3 linked regions of the Astyanax mexicanus genome follow. The protein of the gene in region 1 purifies or fractionates together with the protein of each later gene. This does not show direct contact. Links are inferred from orthologs where the notes say so. Each region holds a gene or a part of one and is shown on either strand. Other genes may lie near its edges.

Evidence for each region. Proteins that work in one complex are often made in the same cells at the same time.
Region 2: the proteins of ubiquitin carboxyl-terminal hydrolase 15 (region 1) and rnf40 purify together in Homo sapiens (affinity purification with mass spectrometry; 4 studies listed by BioGRID and IntAct, with this or other methods). This does not show direct contact. The link is inferred for Astyanax mexicanus from reciprocal best matches to the Homo sapiens genes USP15 and RNF40.
Region 3: the proteins of ubiquitin carboxyl-terminal hydrolase 15 (region 1) and tut1 purify together in Homo sapiens (affinity purification with mass spectrometry; 4 studies listed by BioGRID and IntAct, with this or other methods). This does not show direct contact. The link is inferred for Astyanax mexicanus from reciprocal best matches to the Homo sapiens genes USP15 and TUT1.

What each region holds. Positions count from the first base shown.
Region 1 is NC_064409.1:16,810,681-16,818,469, forward strand, and holds the start of ubiquitin carboxyl-terminal hydrolase 15, read left to right. Parts: upstream 1-4,776; 5' UTR 4,777-4,816; coding exon 4,817-4,905; intron 4,906-7,106; coding exon 7,107-7,234; intron 7,235-7,434; coding exon 7,435-7,565; intron 7,566-7,789. UniProt on the Homo sapiens protein: Hydrolase that removes conjugated ubiquitin from target proteins and regulates various pathways such as the TGF-beta receptor signaling, NF-kappa-B and RNF41/NRDP1-PRKN pathways.
Region 2 is NC_064422.1:30,430,447-30,437,696, forward strand, and holds the start of rnf40 (E3 ubiquitin-protein ligase BRE1B), read left to right. Parts: upstream 1-4,236; 5' UTR 4,237-4,308; exon of another isoform or gene 4,309-4,314; intron 4,315-5,355; 5' UTR 5,356-5,360; coding exon 5,361-5,495; intron 5,496-5,611; coding exon 5,612-5,779; intron 5,780-6,700; coding exon 6,701-7,019; intron 7,020-7,250. Other genes in the region: phkg2 (phosphorylase b kinase gamma catalytic chain, liver/testis isoform), read left to right, coding at 1-95; ccdc189 (coiled-coil domain-containing protein 189), read right to left, coding at 1,129-1,289, 1,519-1,626, 1,715-1,787, 1,896-2,012, 2,123-2,193, 2,639-2,802, 3,340-3,405, 3,499-3,533 and 1 more.
Region 3 is NC_064422.1:21,759,939-21,767,190, forward strand, and holds the start of tut1 (speckle targeted PIP5K1A-regulated poly(A) polymerase), read left to right. Parts: upstream 1-4,238; 5' UTR 4,239-4,353; coding exon 4,354-4,429; intron 4,430-6,925; coding exon 6,926-7,116; intron 7,117-7,252. Other genes in the region: mki67 (proliferation marker protein Ki-67), read left to right, coding at 1-2,093, 2,553-2,641. UniProt on the Homo sapiens protein: Poly(A) polymerase that creates the 3'-poly(A) tail of specific pre-mRNAs. Localizes to nuclear speckles together with PIP5K1A and mediates polyadenylation of a select set of mRNAs, such as HMOX1.

The DNA of each region.
Region 1 (7,789 bases):
TAAATGGCGCTTCATCAAGCACCAACTAGCACAATGGTGCCTACTAGAGCATAGGATGGTGATGTGTAAGAAGGTCTAACACAATTGGAGACATTCTGTCACATTTAGAAATGATCAAAAGTCTTTCACCTGTTATTAATGTTGAGCAGAGGCACAAAGGAGTGAATGTTCTGATATGACATGTAATGTCAAGTTATTCTTAATCTAGTTCTGTATTAAATGGCGCTTCATCAGAGTGATATTGTACAGAGGTCTTTAACATTGTGAGATTACAGCAAATACTGCAGAGTTACAGCAATTTAGGTTAGAAATTCCAAGGACGCACAGATTGCTTGATGCCTGGAGAGTATTGTATGTGAAATTTTCACAAATGTTTTTAATGAACATTTACCTAGAGACTCTACAGTGTGCAGCAAGACTGAAATGGAGGTGATAGGCCAAATATCCAGAGAGTAGTTTCAATATAGCTATTTTCAAACAATTAGCAATTATGAATGAACAAAGCACTTTTTAAACATAGTTGTATTGAGAAATTTGTCAGAGCCACTGTACTAAATATGGCAAAAACAATTAGATGTCAAAATAGTACAGCATGATTGACATATACTCGTTTTTTTGGAACAGCGCCCCCCAGTGGGCGGATTGTTTCAGCACTTTGCAGGTCACTACAGTGTCTCCACCTGAACATAACTGCCAAATATCATCCAGATTGGGCAACATTCAGCCTGCCAAAATGTCTGCTGAATGCTGATTGGCTGATGGTGTTCAGCCATGTTGATTGATTAAGTTGCCCTTTGAACATCCTTTAGAGGCTGTATGATAGATTCTGCATGCAAAGTTTCAACTTGCTAGGTTGCACGGTTGCTGAGAAACAGTGCTCCAAATTTACCTCTTGAAGTGAATGGGGCATATATCCGGAAGGACTAATTTGCATATGGCGGCCATATTGTTTACATATTTCAACTTTTTCTTAATGAATATTGAAGCGCATGCTCTCACGAGTGTTTTGATACCAAACATGCCAGGATTGGTCAAAATTCCTAGGACTAGTTTGCAAAAGTAGGTTTTGCATATTATGCAAATTAGCAAAAAATCTATATAGACGGAAGTGCATGGTCCAAATTGGAAAGTTGTTGGTATTGACCCAAGGAATCCAGCAAAAAATAATTTTGAATGTAGGTCTTATGGTTTTTGAGTTATTGAGAAAATTGTGAAAAATGAATTTCCTTGTTTATAGCGCCACCACTTGACCAATCAGTGCCATTTTTGTTGTGCACCGAGATGCACTGATCCTACATCTACCTACCAAGTTTCATTTCTCTATGACTTACGGTTTAGGCTGCACAACTGTTTTTTCAGGAGAAAAAGAATAATAATAAATATAGCCGCAAGCGGCAATCATCGGGTTCAAGCACCAACTAGCACAATGGTGCCTACTAGAGCATAGGATGGTGATGTGTAAGAAGGTCTAACACAATTGGAGACATTCTGTCACATTTAAAATGATCAAAAGTCTTTCACCTGTTATTAATGTTGAGAAGAGGCACAAAGGAGTGAATGTTCTGATATGACATGTAATGTCAAGTTATTCTTAATCTAGTTCTGTATTAAATGGCGCTTCATCAGAGTGATATTGTACAGAGGTCTTTAACATTGTGAGATTACAGCAAATACTGCAGAGTTACAGCAATTTAGGTTAGAAATTCCAAGGACGCACAGATTGCTTGATGCCTGGAGAGTATTGTATGTGAAATTTTCACAAATGTTTTTAATGAACATTTACCTAGAGACTCTACAGTGTGCAGCAAGACTGAAATGGAGGTGATAGGCCAAATATCCAGAGAGTAGTTTCAATATAGCTATTTTCAAACAATTAGCAATTATGAATGAACAAAGCACTTTTTAAACATAGTTGTATTGAGAAATTTGTCAGAGCCACTGTACTAAATATGGCAAAAACAATTAGATGTCAAAATAGTACAGCATGATTGACATATACTCGTTTTTTTGGAACAGCGCCCCCCAGTGGGCGGATTGTTTCAGCACTTTGCAGGTCACTACAGTGTCTCCACCTGAACATAACTGCCAAATATCATCCAGATTGGGCAACATTCAGCCTGCCAAAATTTCTGCTGAATGCTGATTGGCTGATGGTGTTCAGCCATGTTGATTGATTAAGTTGCCCTTTGAACATCCTTTAGAGGCTGTATGATAGATTCTGCATGCAAAGTTTCAACTTGCTAGGTTGCACGGTTGCTGAGAAACAGTGCTCCAAATTTACCTCTTGAAGTGAATGGGGCATATATCCGGAAGGACTAATTTGCATATGGCGGCCATATTGTTTACATATTTCAACTTTTTCTTAATGAATATTGAAGCGCATGCTCTCACGAGTGTTTTGATACCAAACATGCCAGGATTGGTCAAAATTCCTAGGACTAGTTTGCAAAAGTAGGTTTTGCATATTATGCAAATTAGCACAAAATCTATATAGACGGAAGTGCATGGTCCAAATTGGAAAGTTGTTGGTATTGACCCAAGGAATCCATCAAAAAAAGAATTTTGAATGTAGGTCTTATGGTTTTTGAGTTATTGAGAAAATTGTGAAAAATGAATTTCCTTGTTTATAGCGCCACCACTTGACCAATCGGTGCCATTTTTGTTGTCCACCGAGATGCACTGATCCTACATCTACCTACAAAGTTTCATTTCTCTATGACTTACGGTTTAGGCTGCACAACTGTTTTTACAGGAGAAAAAGAATAATAATAATAATAATAAGAAAAATCTTAGCAAAAACAATAGGGTTCTACGCACCTTCGGTGCTTGAACCCTAATAATAATAAGAAGAAAAATCTTAGCAAAAACAATAGGGTTCTACGCACCTTCGGTGCTTGAACCCTAAATATTCATAAACCTACAGGAAATAATAATTTAGTGTGGTTTTACAAATTCCGAACAGTTTTTTTTTAACTTGCCAAGCACAGAAGCTTTTAAATTTGGCTCAGTCCCATTTCTCTTTTGTACCCCTACCCATTGATTTTAAGTGTAACCCATCCCTTTAGAACAAGGTTAACTAGGTAATTTTAGGTCATTGTAGGTCTTCAGGAAGGGGGCAGGTGGGGCAACAACTAATTGTTATTGCCCATTGCCCAATTCCTCTGTGATGGGAAGCTGAAATTATATTTTTTTAGCTTTTATTTCGTTTTTCCGATCCACCTTAAATGCTGCAGCCACTGCAGTCTGTTGCACCATTTAAGGTGTTACGGGAAAGGTAGCTAGAAACTAAGACAAACTGCTTATTGTTTTTTTTATTTGTTTTTTTTATTTTTTTTATGAAGAATATAGCTACAAAGTATTGAAACTTTAACATTAAACTATGTTAATATAACTAGTAGTTATTGTAAATTTTTTACCAAGAAAAATACTTTGTGGGTTTCTTTGTTCGTTTGTGCTGCCATCTTGCCAGTAATTCTCTGCCACCTTTTTTAATGTGTGCCTCTGAAAATCTCTATTTGAAGTGCCATATACCTCTAACATTTTACCCCAGGATTTACCCTGTGCAGGTAAGTTCTGTCTACCTGTAATAGTCAAAGGTGAGTTTCTGTGGCATGAACGAAGATGCAGTTCTATAAACTGAATGCAGTGTCTGTTGTGAGAAGACTACTCATGTTCCCATTTATCTTCATAAGGAGAATCTTCAAGAGATCAGGTCACATGCCGCAGTTCAGAGTGACAGCAGTTGTCTGGACCTGCCACCTGTCAGATGTGGGGGTTTTGAAACCTCACCACGCCTTACGGAGCCTCGTCCTTGTGTCCCACTGAGTTTCGGAGGGGCACTGGGTGATGTATGGGTTTAGGTTAGGGCAGAAGGGAGAGCTGATTGGGCTGAGCAAAGTAGCTCTGATAGCAGTGAGACGCAGATGATTGGACGTCAGCAGGAGGGGGCTGTATTATTGATTAACTGATTGTATATTGTGATGTGTCTGCATACCAAAGTGCACAGGCACATCATCCTCACCTTTAGCTCAGTTGAACCTGAGAGGGCGCTGCAGAAGCAAAGGAACTTCAAAGGGAACACATGTCAGCTATTAATGGAAATAATATGGTTTAGGGTTTAGTGCCTGTGGTTTGCTGTTGTAAGCTCTGTGCTGGCCAGGCAGTTTAAGCCACTGATTGGCTAAATGTATGTCTCTCTAGAAGGATGCACGCAGGTGATTGGTTACATCTTTTATTTGTCAGATTTTTGATAATTAGTGAACCCTGTCTCTGTCAAACAAACAACAAATAATTAAACAAAGAAGCAAATAAAAAAGAACAAACATAAATAAGCAAACAAATAAATACAGGGGTATGAATGAATTAATAAATAACTACATTTAATTTACAAATTTACATTACCGTCATAAAAATAAAAGTTTTTTATTTAAACGCAACCAATTGGTTAACCATTTCCATCAGTCCGTTACTGCTCAAGCCTCTGATTGGCTAAATTCATATCTTGTGTCCAGAGCCTGCTTGTGTCAAACGCATCTGTCTGTCAAGAAGAATACACGCAGATGATTGGTTCAACATTTCCATCAGTCTCTCATTCCTGAATCCGCTGATTGGCTAAACCCGTGTGAATTCACGCAAATGATTGGATCAACATTTCCATAGGTCAGTCGTCTCTGCATGTCTTAATCCTTTGATTGGCTGAACTCTCCTGTTCGTCAAAACCTACGCTAACCTCTGATTGGCTAAACCTCAGCCTGGCGTCACAGTCGCTCCCCCCACTTTACTATCCCACAATGCAGCGGGCGATGCCCAAGGAAAGATGGCTGAGGGAGGAGCGGCTGATCTGGACACTCAGAGAGGAGAGATCACAGCGCTGCTCAAGACGCAGCTCCGGAGAGGGGAGACGTGGTGAGAGCTGACCGCCGACCTTCCGCGCCTCCGGCCCTGCCGCTGCCGCGCCTAGCCGCCGCTGAGCGGAACGGGCAGCAGCGCGGAGGAGCCGTGTTGACAGCTAGTCACCGTTAGCCGTTAGCAGTTAGCTGGAAAGCGGAGACCGACAGCGGGCTGTGTGAGGGTTATTCAGCAAAACCGCAGACCCCCAGCACCTCCACAGCCTGCCCGGTTCCGGGGGCTGAGAGCCGGCCGACCCAACGCGCTCCTCTGTGGGTCTGGAGTTAGCTGGCACTCGCTAACGGGGCCATTCAGGGCGGAGACGAGACGAGACGCGAGGAGCACCTGTCATTTAGCTTCCCAGCTGCCCCCAAACATCTGAAGACGTTGTGTTAGCTATCTGGTTAAATGTAGGTCGAGACGTCGGGCGACCAAAATGCAGGGCAACGTCTAATGCCAAAGTCATTTGACATTGCTAGAGTATATTAACCTAGAGGATGTATTGGTGTTGTGGTGTTAAGTACTTGTCAAAGTTACCTAAATTAAACGTCTTCCAAACTTCACATGCCAATGTCACGTCAACATAACATACCACCATTTTGTTGTAACACATGAACAACATGTAATCATGGTACTGTCTACAAAACGTGAGGTTCTAAGATAGATTTACGTTGATGTTATTCAGCATTTGCCTATCATTGGTTTTTGACCAAAGTCCAACGTCTTTAAAACGTCAGGTACCAACATCATATTGACATATCATACCAACATTCAGATTTAAGTCATTAAAGCAAAAAAAACGTGTAATTTGGGGCCAGCTGGTATGGAAACTTAATTTAACGTCTGTCTAATGTTGGGACGTAATGTAAACCTGCTGTCTATCAAATTGACACAACATACCTATATTTAGGATTTAGACAAAGAAACAACAAAAAACAAAAAAATATAACACTCATAATGTTAATATCCACAAAAAGTGAAATACTAAGGTGGAAAGGTGGAAAGACATTGCAGTGGTGATCAGTAATCAGAATTCAGCCACTACTGTTAAGATGTTTTTGTTGGATATGTGATTTCCAACCAGAATTTAATCATTAAACAGATTTTCGTTTTGAACAAAACATCTGTCTGATGTTGAAGCTTTATGTCAATCCAATGTAGGTTTTTGACAGATATGTAAATTTGATTTCTAACCAGTAAAATGTTTGGTTTTTGAAGTCTTTGAAGCCTGATGTTAGAGTCCAACGTCTTTTTGACGTCAAATTGATAAATTGTGTCTGCTGAATTTCCTCTGCAGCTAAGCATTTGAAATGCGTTTAGGCTGATTGGCTCTGGAATCCCATGCTCAGATTGTGTATCTGCCTAGCTCTCTAGCCCTCCATCTAGCTGTCTAGCTCTTTGTCTGGGTGTGTATTTACTTTTTTATGCAGTGCTTATTTATCTATCTCTGTATCACGATATCTAGATTTTGCTGTCTACCTATATATATATATATATATATATATATATATATATATATAGCTTTTTGTCCAGCTGTCTATCTACCTGCCTGCATTGTTTGTTGTCTAGTTGTCTATATACTCAGCTATCTAGGTCTGTTTTGCTGTTTATCTACTTAGATGCTAGGTCTTTATCTAGTTATTGGACTACTTAGCTATAAAGCGCTGGAAAAAAAATAAGAGACACTTAAAGTTATCCAAAAGCAATGTGTAAGACTGGTGGAGGAGAACAAGCAAATATGCATAAAAAAACTCTAGGAATATAAATATTTGTGTTATTTGCATGATGTGAGGTCTGAAAGTTCGGCATCTTTCTCATTTTCTGCAAATAAATGCTCTGAATGACAATATTTTTATTTGGAATTTGGGAGAAATATTGTTCGTAGTTTATAGAATGAAACAACAATGTTCATTTTACTCAAACATTAACCTATAAATAGCAAACTCAGAGAAACTGATTCAGAAACTGAAGTGGTCTTATAATTATTTCCAGAGCTGTATATGTCTCCATATAAGTGTCTGTCTAGATAAATCTGGATCTAGCCTTCTAGCCAAATACAGATCTTGCTCCCTCTCTAGCTGTTTTTCTATTTGTACAACTGACTGTCTGTCTGCATAGCTATTTAGTTAACTGTCTATCTGTCTGGTGTGTGAACATGATTGCAAATGCTATAATTGGTTTACCTAATTGTAACCATTCCTATCCCTGGTTTATCTCAGGTACTTAATAGACAGTCACTGGTTCAAGCAGTGGAAGAAATATGTGGGCTTTGACAGCTGGGACAAGTATCAGATGGGGGATCAGAATGTCTACCCCGGACCGGTGGACAACTCGGGTCTCCTTAAAGGTTATTAACTGTTTCATATTAGTAAACCAATTTTTTTTTTGTTGAAAGTGTTACCTTAAAAATGAGCGATCATAAATAAGCTTTATTATTTATTGATCCAGAATGATGGTGGTGTTTTAGGAAACATCGTCCATATACTATAAAACATGAGCTCTTAGCCACACAATTGATCAGTGCTTATCTTTGCATTTTGTTCTTAGATGGCGATGTACTTGCCATTAAAGAGCATCTTATCGACGAGTTGGACTACATCCTCGTGCCCACTGAGGGCTGGAATAAGCTAGTGAGCTGGTACGGTCTGACCGATGGCCAGGAACCCATCGCCCGGAAGGTACGTATCTAAATTTGAGTATTCATGCTATGATGGGCTGTGTTATACAGAATGTGATGCAGGCAGTGTGATTTGAAAACGGTGCCAGTTCACGTGAAACCAGGGCTGGTTTTATTGCGCCTGTAATATCGGACTTAGCATATGTCCTAGTTGTGGTTGTGGCACATTAGATTTGCATGGAATCACACAGGAAGCATGTTCTGCTATTTCTGTCATATTAGTTC
Region 2 (7,250 bases), on another chromosome or scaffold:
ACTGGGTGAAGAAAGGGGAACAACAGAACCGGGCTGCTCTTTTCCAGAACACCACTAAAATTCTTCTTGTTGGTTTAGAGGACCTTGAGAACTAGATCCATTATTTTCCTGTATCTAACGATACTTCACTATTTTGCATTATAAGTTATAACACAGTTCAGGGACTATAGGCATTCATCCGTCCAGAGGCGCACAAAACAGATTTGTACTATTTATTCATGATTACTGTTTCATTAACAATGAGAGGTGCTTCATTCATTCATTCAATGTTACATGCAAGTAATCTGACCTCACTTTTACTGTTTCACTGTATTATGATCAGGTTGCTCTTGAATGTATGAACAGACCTGTAGCATACTAAGTGTACTGCTTGTGTATAATCTAAAAATATAATATGCAGATTGGGGATGACTAGATTGGGGTTGCTGGCTATTGTAACTCTGTTTACATTCCAACAGACCAGCGGCTATTCTTGGGTGTTATATAATCTTGTTGAATTTAAACACTGTAAGTGTCCTAATGATTGTTACGTGCATTACCAGAGGTTTATTTACTGGCTAATTTGTAAATTACCAGATTGTGGATGACAGGTAACTACTGTATTGTACATCTAGTTTTAGTTTTACTTTGTTTATATCTTAGCTCAGATACATTATTTTACTGCAGCATTTACATCTTTCTGATAAGCAATGTATGGTTGCTTTCCTGATCACTTTCAGAAGATTTATTTTAATATATTTGACCACTTATTCCTTTTCATCTATGATAACCAAACACCATGTTTTTATGACTGAGTACTGTACTGATTGTGACTAAAAAAGCAAATATATTACTATATTATTATTTATGAGTTTGCTGTTGTCTAGTTTTCTTTTCTTTTTTTCTTTTTTTTTTTTACTTGTTTGATAAACCATATAGTTAGTTTTATAAAGCATGTATGTTTAAGGTGTAAAATAGGGCTGCGACAAACAACTATTTTGATAGAATAATCTACTGATGAGTAAAACTATATGTATTTACCTTTTTTTAATGAAAATAACTTATGAAGAAAGAATTTTATTGAAAAATAATTTCCAAATTGAAATACAGCAGTTTGATAAAATACCCAGATGGTGTGAAGTTGATTGGTCACTTCTTAGATCGAATATTAGCCTCCAGCACAGTAAGAGCTGTGTTTAGCTGATCAGTACTTTCCTGAAGCCGTTTTTCTAGCTGAGCTGTCAAGCGCATCACTTCATCCTTTACTTCTTTTTCCACGATTGTCCGGAGCTCTGTTTTTGGGGATGGACCTAATGATAGAAAAATCAAGCGTCTGCTTCTTGAAATTCGTACCATATTCTTATTATACATTTTTGCCCAATACTGTCTCTTATTTTAGGTTAATCCACAGTGTACATAATGCATTACACAGTATATTATGTTATTCTGCTATTCTTTTTACGTGTACAGTGGTGTGAAATTGTTTGCCCACTTTATGATTTTTTTTTTTCTTACAATAATCTCCTGCTATATAAATACCTTGGTGAAGTGTTTCAGTGTCTGTGGTCAGAATTTCTGCTGATGCCGTTTCCTCACTTGTACTGCCTGCCACCTTCCCTGTTTCATTCTCCGCACCTGTAGCATACTCTAAGGTACAGAGATAAATCAGTCTCAAAGCTGACTTCAAAAATCTGAAAGTAAAACAATTGTTATTGTATTGAAATACTGAGTTTACCATCACTGGCTTCTTCCTCTGAAGCAGCTTCCTCAGGCATTCCAGTGTAAGACAATGATAAGTCCAAATACATCTTCACCAGCAGTGAGGGGAGTAAAATGTCCCATCGATTATTAAAATTCTACCATGCCAGAAATTCTGCACATTTTTTAGACTGTAAAAATTAGGATCCCCAACATACCTGTGGTGTAAATATGTACTTGTACAGCTTGTAGTGTCTCATATATGTGTTGGTAAGATATTGAAGAATCTGGGTCAGTTGTTCTGCATCAAAAAGATGGACACTGAAAGGAGGTCTCTAGAGTGTACAAAAAAGCAATGTATTTGAAGTTGATTTTTGAAGATTTTTTTACCCAAAATGTTCAATTAAATGTGTTTACTTTTTTATTACAATAATTATGTACACACTCTGACAGAATGACAAAGTAGAAGTTCACTGCAGTAGGAAAAGCACTGGTCCATGTTGTTGAGGGGGGTTTCTGTCATGTGAGAAAGAAAATATGGTTTCGGGAGAGTTTATAAAAGGACGTATCAGTGTTGAAGTAGTGTCACAAATCTTGACAGTGAGTAGGCCTGTCATGATAAATATTTTTGTTTAGACACTATTGTCTCAGAATTTACTGCAATAAACGATATTATTGTGATTTTAAGACCACTTTATACTACAGATAACTTTTAAATGATCAAAAAATCTTCATATATTAGTAAAAGTTGAAGTAAAACCTGTTAAAATCTCCTAAATAAATAAAACATAAAATAAAATGCTGTTTTTGAAGTTGAGAGTGAGCGCATTCACATTAAAGGGCTTAAACACAGAATACCAGAACTGAGAGCTGAATGTAGTAGTGACCATGCAGCTCGATTATAAAATATCAACTCCATACGCAGACTAAAAATCTAGATAATTTTAAGATAATGTGTCACCTGTGTTCAACTGATGTACATTCTTCACAATGGAGAGAAGAACAGATGTTTGCTCCCGGTTAAAATGTTGCTCCCTGCAAAACCTCACTAAATTTGTGAACATCTCCAGCAGAATTCCCAGTCGTGGCTCGGGCAGATCGAGTTTTAATGCACGACACAGAATTCTGAAAACAATGTGACATAAAAAAATGTTATGTAATTAATGTATTATTTATTAATTACTAAAAATAACCCATAAGAGACCCAGGTCCCTTTCTGTATAATGATGCCAAAAAAAAAAAAATTATCAGATACTTCCAGTAAGCAGCTCTTTCATGTTTTTTCTTATTGTGGGCACATGACCCATGAAATATTTTGAGACTAAAATCCTGATGTGACATAAATAACACAACAATAATTTCTTCTGTTTAAACATTTTGTTCCAGAAATCATATCAATATAAAAATGTAAAATCGAATTGTTTAATTTTAATTGTTTAAAAAAGGAGCTATATCTCCAGCACTAATTCAGAACACCTACATTCTGTAAATAAGATCAAAATGAATTAACACAGAATTAACTGTCCTGTGACGCTTTCAGGATGTTTAGTATATTTTTATTGGCTTTATGAGTTAAACTGAAGGACAGAGCTTTTAAAGGGTCTGTGACACACGTGTCACATCAGGCTCTTTTGGGGAAAAAAAATAAAAATGTAGGCAAACCTTTCTGTGTCTGTTATTGAATCTGCCTTGTCCATTTCCTCCATGTCACTGTAACTCAGGTCTGCCCTGCAGATTCAGCATTAACAACAGTGTTTAACAGCTGCTATTTACAGTAAGTCATTTTTAATTAAAAAGTAATGGTCTATAACTATAACATACCATAACAGGACTCTGGCTTTTGGAATGCATGGCTCCTGAAAACAAGTCACAAAAACAACACTCAAAAACTCATCTCTAATTTCAATTTAATGTTATAATTGCTCTACATATCTTTCCAGAATCTCTCTTATATCATACCAGTGTTTCCTTCTTCATGTTGATCCTTGTAGTTGAAGGATAGACATATTATAAACACAGTAAATTTAAATCCAGCTGTTTACTACAGTGTGTTCGTTCCCTCTAAACAAAAATGTAACGGAGGACTGTCAGTAAATTGCTTTGTGTTGTACTGTATCCTAGCAACAACACCCGGGTCTCTTCCACGACAGAGCAGGGCGGATAAATTTTGTAAAATTAAAAGTACTTAAAAGTTTGTGCTTTAGAACGAAAGCAATATATATATATATATATAAGAAATCAATATTTGGTGAAATAACCCTGGTTTTTAATCACAGTTATAATGCATCTTGGCATGTTCTCCACCACCAGTCTTACACACTGCTTTTGAATAACTGCAAATAAATGCTCTAAATGACTATTTTTATTTGGAATTTGGGAGAAATGTTGTCTGTAGTATAGTATAAAATAACAATGTTCATTTTACTCAAACATATACCTATAAATAGCAAAATCAGAGAAACGGATTCAGAATCTGAAGTGGTCTCTTACTTTTTTGCCAGATAAGTATAGCTAATTTTTCCCCACGTTTGTAGTGACTTTTATTGTGAAGCCAGAAGCTCGCCTCTCTAATATTCCTCCGTATCCGTTTCGCACTGCTACTGCCGTTCCTATCCAGTACGGTTAGCGAAGGTTTGTGTATGTGTTCAGATAAATGTACCATATTCCTTCATATTAATTAAGAAACTGTGAAGTGTGGGTTTGTTCGGAAGGCGCAATCTGAGGTTACATTATTATTCTACAAACTGTGGCTTTAGGTTCAGTGAAAATCCCCTGTATTTACTCATATTTTACGTAGTTGGCTCTTTAGCTAGTTAGCTAACGTTACCTGTCGGAGCTAGCGCTAGCTAATGCTAACTAGCTTAGCTAAATCGTATTAGCTGTAAACACCGGCAGTAACTAATGAATCTACAGTTTTAAATAATATGTTGATTAGAGATAATAGTTGTAGTTTTATCGCTGTATATATGAGCGTAGATTAAACCTGTGCAGCGTGTTGCGATATATGGGCCGCTGTCCCGAGGGTCGGCCCTCTGTAGCAGTTAATACAGCATTAGCAAAGTAAAAAAGAACGATTCAGTTCGGGGTACATTTGTTTATGGTCGATTTAGCTAATCTAGTTTAGTGATTTAAGCTACATTGTCAACAAAACTTTCAGATATTTAAACTAATCTAGCTAGCTAATCTCTTGAGATAATATTAGCCAAGTCTATGTATGTATACACTGTAAACATCATTACACACAACTGCAAATAGAACTTACACCAATTTCCAGACCTGTATAAGTTTTCTGTATAAGTTTTGGAAAAAGTCATGAAAAAATATTTTCCGTTTATTCACTGTTTTGGTTTTAAATTGATTTAAGGTGCTGATTTAAAAAAATAAAATGCTGATTTAATGCTGCCAGGCTCCATTCAGACACATATAACACAGAGTGGTGCAAAACATGCAGAAATGTAATTCAGCTATTTTTTAGGTGAGATATATAGGTCACTATAACCAGTTTTTGCAATGTCTGTACTGATGATCAAAGATCGTATGGTCATTAAAAATGGCCACGAAGGCATTGGTTCAAAAGTTTAGGTACCTTGCTTACATTAGCTACTGCATTTACTTTCAGTTACTTTGATAGCTATGTTTTTGTGTTTTGTTTCAATCTATATTCTCTCTATAATAAAGGAACCATGTCTGGCACGGGGGGCAAGCGTGCCTCAGGAGGGGACAGTCCTCCTGGCCCCCCAGAAAAGAAGATGAAGAAAGAAGAGAAAACTACAACAACCCTCATAGAGCCGATTCGTATTGGAGGGGTTTCCTCAACTGTGAGTTCCTGTTAGACAAAACTTTTTGGGTGTCTTTACAGTGATACTGTAAATGTCAGGCTCCGAACTGAAGCAAAACCCATGTTTACTCTTTTGTATCACTCTGTGCTTTGCAGGAGGAAATGGACATGAAGGTCATTCAGTTTAAGAACAAGAAGTTGTTTGAACGCCTTGAGCAAAGACAAGCTATTGAAGATGAGCTGAGAGAGAAGATTGAGAAGCTGGAAAAAAGACAAGCAACTGATGATACTACACTTCTGATTGTTAACCGCTACTGGACTCAGGTAATACGCACACCTAGTGAGTAAGTGGGACAGTAGAGTATAGTAGTGGGGGGAGCTATAAGTGTGACCCCATGCTTTAGGTGCAGGATTTATCATTAGCCCTGTATTACATTGCTTACTACTCTCTTTGTAATGTATGTGGATGGGTGTCAAAAAACAGTTTCGGGAACATAGAATTAATTTGTGTAAGCAGCTAAATGTTACCGGAAATATAGAATTAATATACTTTTAGATTACATTAGATTATATAGTTGTTTTCCACACCTCTTCTGTTGTGTTTACATTCTTCTGTTGTGTAACATTCAATGAGGTACTGTTATCTTACTGTAAGGAGCATAAATAGTTGGCTCATCTATTGTGAGCATGATACACAATATTTAAAGTGATACTTTTAGATGTAGACAAAGTGCACCAATATCTGCACATTTAAAAGATTTGCTGCAAAAAAAAATAGAAATTAAAAAAAGAAGAGCTTTTAATATAATTTTTGTGCACATATATGTGTTTAAATCTGTTTTGTGTATGTCAATAATGTAATATTAGCTCAGTGTATTTCCTACTGTAGAAACACTGAGTGCAGGGTCGAAAAATAGTGTGAATGGTACGATATTATAGTATTATAAGTACTTTAATGTGCTTTTATTAAATGAATAATTGTAAGACCATGTCTATAATTATTGGATAATGTGTAAAATATATATTTTTTAAATCTTGGATATACCTCTGGGCTGTAATTTCATATAGGATGTGACAATATGATTATAGTATAATTATAATTAACAATATAATTATCTGAGGAAAATGTTTCATCATATTATTGCAAATTACAAACTTTAATTTTTTTATGTACTATGCATACATGTATTTATGAAGAGCAGAGGAAAACCTTAATTCGTTCAATTTGTCTCTTTCTTCATGCAGCTGGATGAAAATGTTCAAGAATTACTGCAACGTGTTGAGCCTAAGGTTACTCCACTGACTGCGAAGACTCCTGCTAGTCCTCCAGCCTCTGCACCTGCCACTGTTCCTGCAACAGCCACCTCACCTGCCCCTGAATTTTCTGCCCCTCTGGTGGAAGGAGAGGATGGACTTCCTCAGCCTCCAGCTCCAGCAGAGGAGGAGGAACAGCAGCAGCAGCCCGAACAGGTACCACAGCCGGAGTCGCAACCGGAACAAGTGAAGAATCAGCCTGATGTGGATGTGAAGCCTCCTGAAGGTCCAGTACAGGATGGAATACCAGGTAACCACACATTTTTTTTTATTTATTTATTTTTAAATATAATGCACGTTATATCAGTATGTGGAATTTCAAACTAACATGCAAACGTTGCCGTGACTGCTGTGCATCAAGGAGTAACTGTACCAATCGTATGTATTTCTAAACACCTTAAGTTTTCTTAAGGCTTTAGACATTTTTGTGTTCTGTACTTAAAAGCAGATGCAAGGGCATTTTTCATTGTATACATTCCAC
Region 3 (7,252 bases), on another chromosome or scaffold:
AGCTAAGCCTGAAGTCGAGAACCCACTTGTCATTTCTGCCTCACAAGAAGTACAAGAACTCAGTTTGCCCAAAGATGCAGATGAAAATATAAATGTTGTTGTGGAATTGGCAGCACCTGAACCTTTAGTAAAGCCCAAGGTCTCTGCTGCAAAAGTTAAAAGGGGGAGAAGAGCAAAACAGGAGCTGGAGAATCCACCAATTATCCCTGTGTCACATGAGCTGGCTGCACCTGAAGTTACTGTTGAGGAGAAGGATATTGCAATGGTAAATACTGTTGCTGAATCTGAAGCTACTGAAACTTCTGCAATTCCAGAGGTCTCCTTGAAGTCGCCAGTCCCTGTTGTGAAGGCTAAAAGGGGACGAAGAGCTAAACAGGAACTAGAGAATCCACCAGTTGTGCCTGAAGTTGCAGTTGAGGAAAAGGATGTTGTTGCTGAATCAGAACCTTCTGTGATCCCAGAGGTCTCCTTAATGTCACCAATCCCTGCAGTCAAAGCTAAAAGAGGACGAAGAGCTAAACAGGACCTGGAGAATCCACCTGTCCTAGCTGTTGCACATGAGCTGACTGTGCCTGAAACTGCAGTTGAGAATGAATCTGTTCCACCAGAGAGTGTTGAGCTTCAGACTTCTGTCGAAACTGATGTTGTTAAAACTAGTGCAAGAACACGGAGAGGTAGGACAACAAAGAAGGAAACTGCTGAACCCTCTTCAACTGCAGTGGAGGTAGATGTTACAAGTTCTGATTCTCTAGTGGTGGCTGATGAACTACCACAAATGCATGTGGTGAAGCCAGGACGTGGAAGGAGAGCCCCTCTAAAGGCTCAGCCAAGGGAGGATGCTGATGACCAACCAGCTGCTGCAGAAACAAGTCCAGCAGTCACAGAGACTGAGGAACATGTGGAAACTGTGGTGAAAAATGTCAGAGGATCAAAGAGGACAAAGCAGCCAAAATCATCTCAGGTTTTAGAAGATGCTCAGGAAAAGGTTGAAGATCATTCTGAAGTTGACCACGATGCTGATAAACAAACTGAGGCACCGGTCAATAAATCAGTGCGAGGAAAAAGAACTGCTGTTATCAGGGATGAACCAGAAGGTCTAGTTAAAAGAGGACGACGTGGTGCTGCTGCTTCTTCTGCTGAAGTGCCAAAACCTGTTGGCAAGCCTACTCGTGGCAGAAGAGCTGCTTTAAAAACTGAGCAAAAAGTTTCAGAAGTTGCCACTGCAGTTGATGAACCAGTCAAAGAGGCCAGTAATCTACCAGAGCCCAAGTCTGATGACCTTGCAACTTCCCAAGCAAGTTCTGAGGAAACTGTGTGTGATGTTGAGACCAGCGAGGCACCAGCTAAGCGAGGAAGAGGGAGATATGCCAAAAAAGGAAAGGTTGTAGCCAAAGGTACTTCTGTCAAAGCAGATGACACTTCAGCCACTGAGGAAGCTGATGTGGAAAATAAAAAGAAAGCCTCCAGGAAGGCAGTCAGTTGGAATTCTGATCTGGTGGCCTCAAAGAACATTGAGACCGTGGAGCCTCCAGCAGCTGAAGATGTGCCTCAGCAGAAGTCCTCCAGAAAGAAAGCTGAACCTGCAGCTAAGGCTTCTACTGATGATGTACCCGTCTCTGACACCAAGCAGTCTGCAGAACCGCCAGCCAAAGGCCGCAAAGGTAGAATGGTTAAAAAGCCAGAAGAACAACCTGCAGAAAAGTCTGAGCCAGCTCCTGTAGAAAATGTGCCAGCGGTCAGGAGAGGAAGAGCAGGCGCTTCATTAGACTCCAAGCAAGATGAAGTGGCAGCTGTTCTTAAAAGGGGAAGCAAAAGAAAAGAGCTTGATGTTTCTGATGAAGCAACCACACTGGAGTCATTGTCCAAGAGAAGGAAAGGCCAAGCTGATGGTGCTGAAGCTCAGAAAGAAGTGGCTGTAGTTGGCAGAGGAAGAAGGGCAGCTGCTAAGGAGGCCATAGAAGAAACCCCTGAGGTTGAAAAGGAACAAAGTGAATCTGCATCAAAAAATTCTGACAACAAACCTGTAAGGGGCAAACGAAAGGCAGCTCAGGAAGTAGATTCCATCTCTGCAACATCTGAAGAGCCCGTCTCAGGTGAGAAACTATTACTTTCAACAGTTTTAAGTTTTATTCATGCGCTCAGGTCTCATTCTAGTTATCTTGTATAAAACCACCTTCTCCTTCACTTTTGAATTTATACTCAATCAGATTTTAAACATTTTAATTGCGTTCCTAAATTGGGTACTTTTACCTTTCTTTTAAGCCAAGATGTAATTTGAATATTTTGTATGGATTGTGCAGTCAGCAATTGCCCTGTATTGAAGATTAAATCAACTATTAAATATGATTGATACATTGATTTATATAGCCTTCTCATCTGTTTTGATTATATTTAAAAAGGATAAGGTTTACACAAGTTTAAACAGTTTTAAAACAACTAGGCTGTAACTTTGTTATTTTTTTTTTCTTCATTCACTAATTGTAGTATCAGAATATGCCCAGCATAACCAGGTGAATTTTCTGTATTTATTTCTTTATTTATTTTAAACACAGAAACCTCCAGTCGACGAGGAGCCAGAGTCCAGAAGAAAACTGAGATTGAGGTTTCTTCAGCTCCTGTGCGGCGAACAAGGAGAAAATGATCTGCTGGTGTTGATCAGTTGTAAATATTCAAAAGCAAGAATCAGTTTTTTATATATCAGGACCCATCAATTATGATAGCACTCTCTCTTTGTTCATTAATATGTTTTTATTGTTAAACAGTGTTTTATTGTTTTTAAAAAGACGTGAATATAATTTTTCAAAATATTCATTTTTTAGGGTTTAAAGGACTGGAAAATGTATGCCCTTTTTGGTCAGTAAAACCTTGCTGTTTTTCTACTTTTGCTTGATGATTCAAAGTGACCATATTCTATGCTATAGGTTTTAGGTTGTGTCCGGTGTTTGTTAAAAGAAAAAATAAACAATTTGTGGGTTAGTAAACAATTGTTCTTCCGAATTGTCACCAAACTTTACTCTTAAAAATGTCTTAATGCATCTTAATCTTTTGATTTAATCTTTGGAGAACAAGGTTTACATCAATAAAATCCATCTCAATCCCTCAGTGTTGGTCTTGTTTATTAAAATGTTTTGTTTGGTAAAAATTTGGTAAAGGTTCTTGAGGTCTGAATGTCTTTTATTGGTGCTAAATCATTTTCATATATTTAATTGCAATACTTGTGGGGTATTTATTTCTTATGTCTCACATACGCACACAGCTGATGGCATGTCTGGAATATGGAGCCACAATAGTGTTTTTCTTCTAATAAAGTTCTAAGTTAAACTCAGTCACTCAACACAGTAACTTATTTTAAAAGCTTTAAATATATCCTGAAAGTTTGACCATACTACATTATCACTGCTCCTCTCCCAAAAGTACAGGCACCATTAAACAAAAAAGAAATTATTTTAATTATGAATTATCACAGAATATTGTGGTGATTAGTATAATTTTAAATGATTAACACCCCTAATATAAATATAATTTAGCCAGTCTCACACGGATTCTGTTATTTATATTTTAATACCCATTAATATAAGTGTAATAAAATCTGGAAGGCCCCATGGTTTATGCATAAGTGCATTGTTTGCTATTTACACTGATGTTTTTAATGTTTTTGACTCAAGTTCATTTAAAATGCCTTAAATATATATTTTCCATTACTATGTTGAGCCACCTATTATACAATATGAGACTTTTACAAACATTTTTGAATAATTCAAAATTATTTATTACATCGATATGGTCAAATTTAAAGAAATTATCCTAAATCTCTGGTGGTGCTGAGTATGAAGGACCAAAACTACCAAAATTATAAATAAATAAATATATAACTTCAGAAATTAACTAAGAAAAAATTGGTATAAAATCAGTAATAAATGGATACATTCATACATTAATTGTATAAAGAAATAAATACAGCAACTAGAGTATTTGTATTTGTAGACGTTATTCTTTTCATTTCTGCATTTTATATATTCCTCTATTAAATTATTTCAATATTTATTTATATTTTATATTAATTCTTATTATTTATTTTTTATAACCATATTACTTTTATTAAATAATTTACTTACGTTTGTATGTATTTATTTTTAGATTTAAAAAAATAAATCGTAAATCTTAGGCAGGTCTGGTGGCAGGTCCGCTGAAGCAGTAACGTTAACTTAGTAGGGGGGAACTGAAAGGCGGTGGTTGAAGTTTCCGGTGTTGTTTAATGCTGCGGGACCGAGCCTCGCTCTGTGGAGGGAGATTTAACTTGTGCTTAGCTTAGCTTAGCATTCCTCACTCTCGAGCAGCAGCGTTTCCAGCAGGATGGAGACGAGTGAAGACATCAGGACCACGCCGAGGGGCTTCTACTGCAAACTGTGCAGCATTCACACCCCTAACCGTGAGTCCGGGGGAGAGAAATACAGATAAATTAGCGCAACTTAGCTTAGCTTAGCGCTGCTAATGTATGCGTTCTCTGAGCACGCTGACTAAAACTAACCACAGACCTGCATCTAAAACTAGCTAACCTAACTATTTCTCACGAGTCTAAAGTGAAGAGCTGAGAAAAGCTGGGGTTAAAGGTTTATCAGTGTATACATTTTTAATTAAATGTTAAAATTAAATGTGTTGTCTGAGCCCATTAGCTTAGCTTACTGTTCTAGAAGTTTCTTAGTTAAGTAAGTTTCTGTTTCAGCTGTAGGCATTTTTTTTTGTTTGCCTTCGCATAAGAACCCGAGTAAAATTTAGGCTCATATTAAAACAAAGTCTTTCTGTGAGCTCGGTTGCTGCATTATTAGCTAGATAAATGGTTAATTAATAGGTGATCAAACTTCATTCACAGAGTATTCATTCATTCATTTATTCATTAAGAATTTATTGTGAAATGCTCCACAGCTTATTGTTAACAATGGTGGTGAAAGCTCTCTTACAGAAATGTAACTTATTGCATATAACGTTACCAGACCAACATGGTGATCTAAGAGTTACAGACCCTTTAAAAGCTTTAAAAACCTCTTTCACTACTGTACTTAATTTTCAAAATGCTGTATCTACTGGAATATTATTCTTCTCCTAATTCCACTTTTACTTCACTACATTTTGTACTTTTTTTTTTTTCTTTCTAATTTTTTCCCCAATTTACACGACCAATAACCCAACCCACTCATTAGGACTCCCCTTTCACTAGTGATGCCCCAACACCAGGAGGGTGAAGACGAGCATGTGCCTAGTGTTGCCAACTCCTCAGTAAGGAAAGTAGCTATTGGCTTTACTAAAAGTCGTTAGAAGTCGCTAAATGAGGTCATCGCCTAATTTGCATAATACCTGTTTTTGAAGCTGTGAAGGGTTAACGTTTGGGAGAGAAAAAAGTTAATAAAAAACACCCTAAATTTGTTAGAAATGTTACAAATAAACTCTAACTAATGAACAACTTCTGTTGCTTTTTAAATAGGCATGTCACTTCCTAAAATAACTTTAACATAAATTTCAGGGGTTTTTTTGTTTTGTTTTGTTTTATTTTATTAAGTTTTCTTTATTTTTAAACCTATTATACACATTGTTCAATGATGAGCTAGCTTGCTAGATGTTTAGCTTTTTATAAATAGACATCACCCTCTGGAGTGATGTGGGGAGAGAGCACCATCTACCCACTCAGAGAGAGCAAGGCCAATTGTGCTCTTTCAGGGAGCCAATGGCAAGCTACATGAACAGAATTCAAACTGGCGATCTCCTGATCATAGTTGCTGCGCTTAGCCTGCTGGATCACCCAGAGCCCTATACATGAGTTTAATACTTTAATTCTGATCATTTTTTATGTGCTCTATCATTATTTTTACAGTAATAAAAATGTTAATCATTCCAAAATCACATTATCCTTAAAGCCAGAGCGGTACATGCTCTTGATTATCAGTTAAGTGATTCAAGCGATCAAGCTGATCTTATAAAAAGACCTCCCTGCTCCCATTCTGCTTTTCACGCTGAGACCTTACCACTGCTTTCTGTAATAACTATATAACACAGTATTGTACTTTTACTTTTTAGTACTTTAGTACTACATCCTAAAATAATCTCCTTACAATCATTTGTTCAACTTTAGTACTTCCACTTGTGGTGCTAAAAGAACACGTCAACTTCTACTCAAGTTACTGTTTTATAGAGTACTTGTAGTTTTAATCAAATCTTGGTCTCTAGTACTTTATACATGTCTGTAAAATTCCTTACAGCTCTCTTGCCATAACTTTAACTTAAGCAGTCCCTAAGTGACAGGTGTAGGTGTGGTGGTTTAGTGCTGGAGATAAATTGCTCGTAAAAGTGTATTTTTTTTATTTATTTATTTATTTTTTGCTTTTACAGCTCTGTTGCCATCTTTTTAACAAATCAGATGCTTTAATAAACTGTTTCACATTCCATATAAGTAGTTCTGTCATGATTTATTATTTATAGTTTTAATATTGTTGTTGTGCCATTTATGTTGCATTAGGATTTTAATGCTGTAATATGTACAGTCATGTCCCTTTTTTACTACAGTAAGAAAAGAAACACGAGTTAGCTCTGAGACTTCGGACGAGAAATGAGAATATTGGTTGTTCTGAGATATTGGCAGGAATAGTACCTTGTATTTAACAAATAAATGAGGGCTTAAATGAGGGGGATGTGCTCTATTTTCTTAGGGCCTGAGAGCCAGCTGCAATTAGGACTCACTGTAAACTTCAAAATATCCTCGTTTTTTGACACTGCTTTATAGTCCATTACAGTAATCCAAACGATACAAAATGATGGCGTAAATGACATTTTTCACATGCTAGGAAAATATCAGTGTCATTTTCTATAAAGTGTTGTGTACCATTTAACTACACCAAGCTCTGAATGACTAATTAGTCCCATGTTTTTTAACCAGGGCCGAGTCTGGAAGCACATTTGAAAGGAAAGAAGCACCAGCACCTCTGCAGGCTGCGGAGCAAGAGGGATGCTCAGGTGGAGAGCAGCATCTATGTCAGCGGCATTAAACCGACTACATCCAGGACGGAGCTCGCTGAGTATTTTGAGCAGTTCGGCCCTGTGTCTGAAATAATCATGGACAAGGACAAGGTCAGTGTGTTTTTTAATTAAAGACAAGTAAGTTGTTCCAACACACACTTTTGATTAAAGGTCTCCTTCTGCTAAAATCCAATTTTTTTTTCTTTGTGAACAAAACAATTGGTCTCTCTGAATTGTATATTCATGC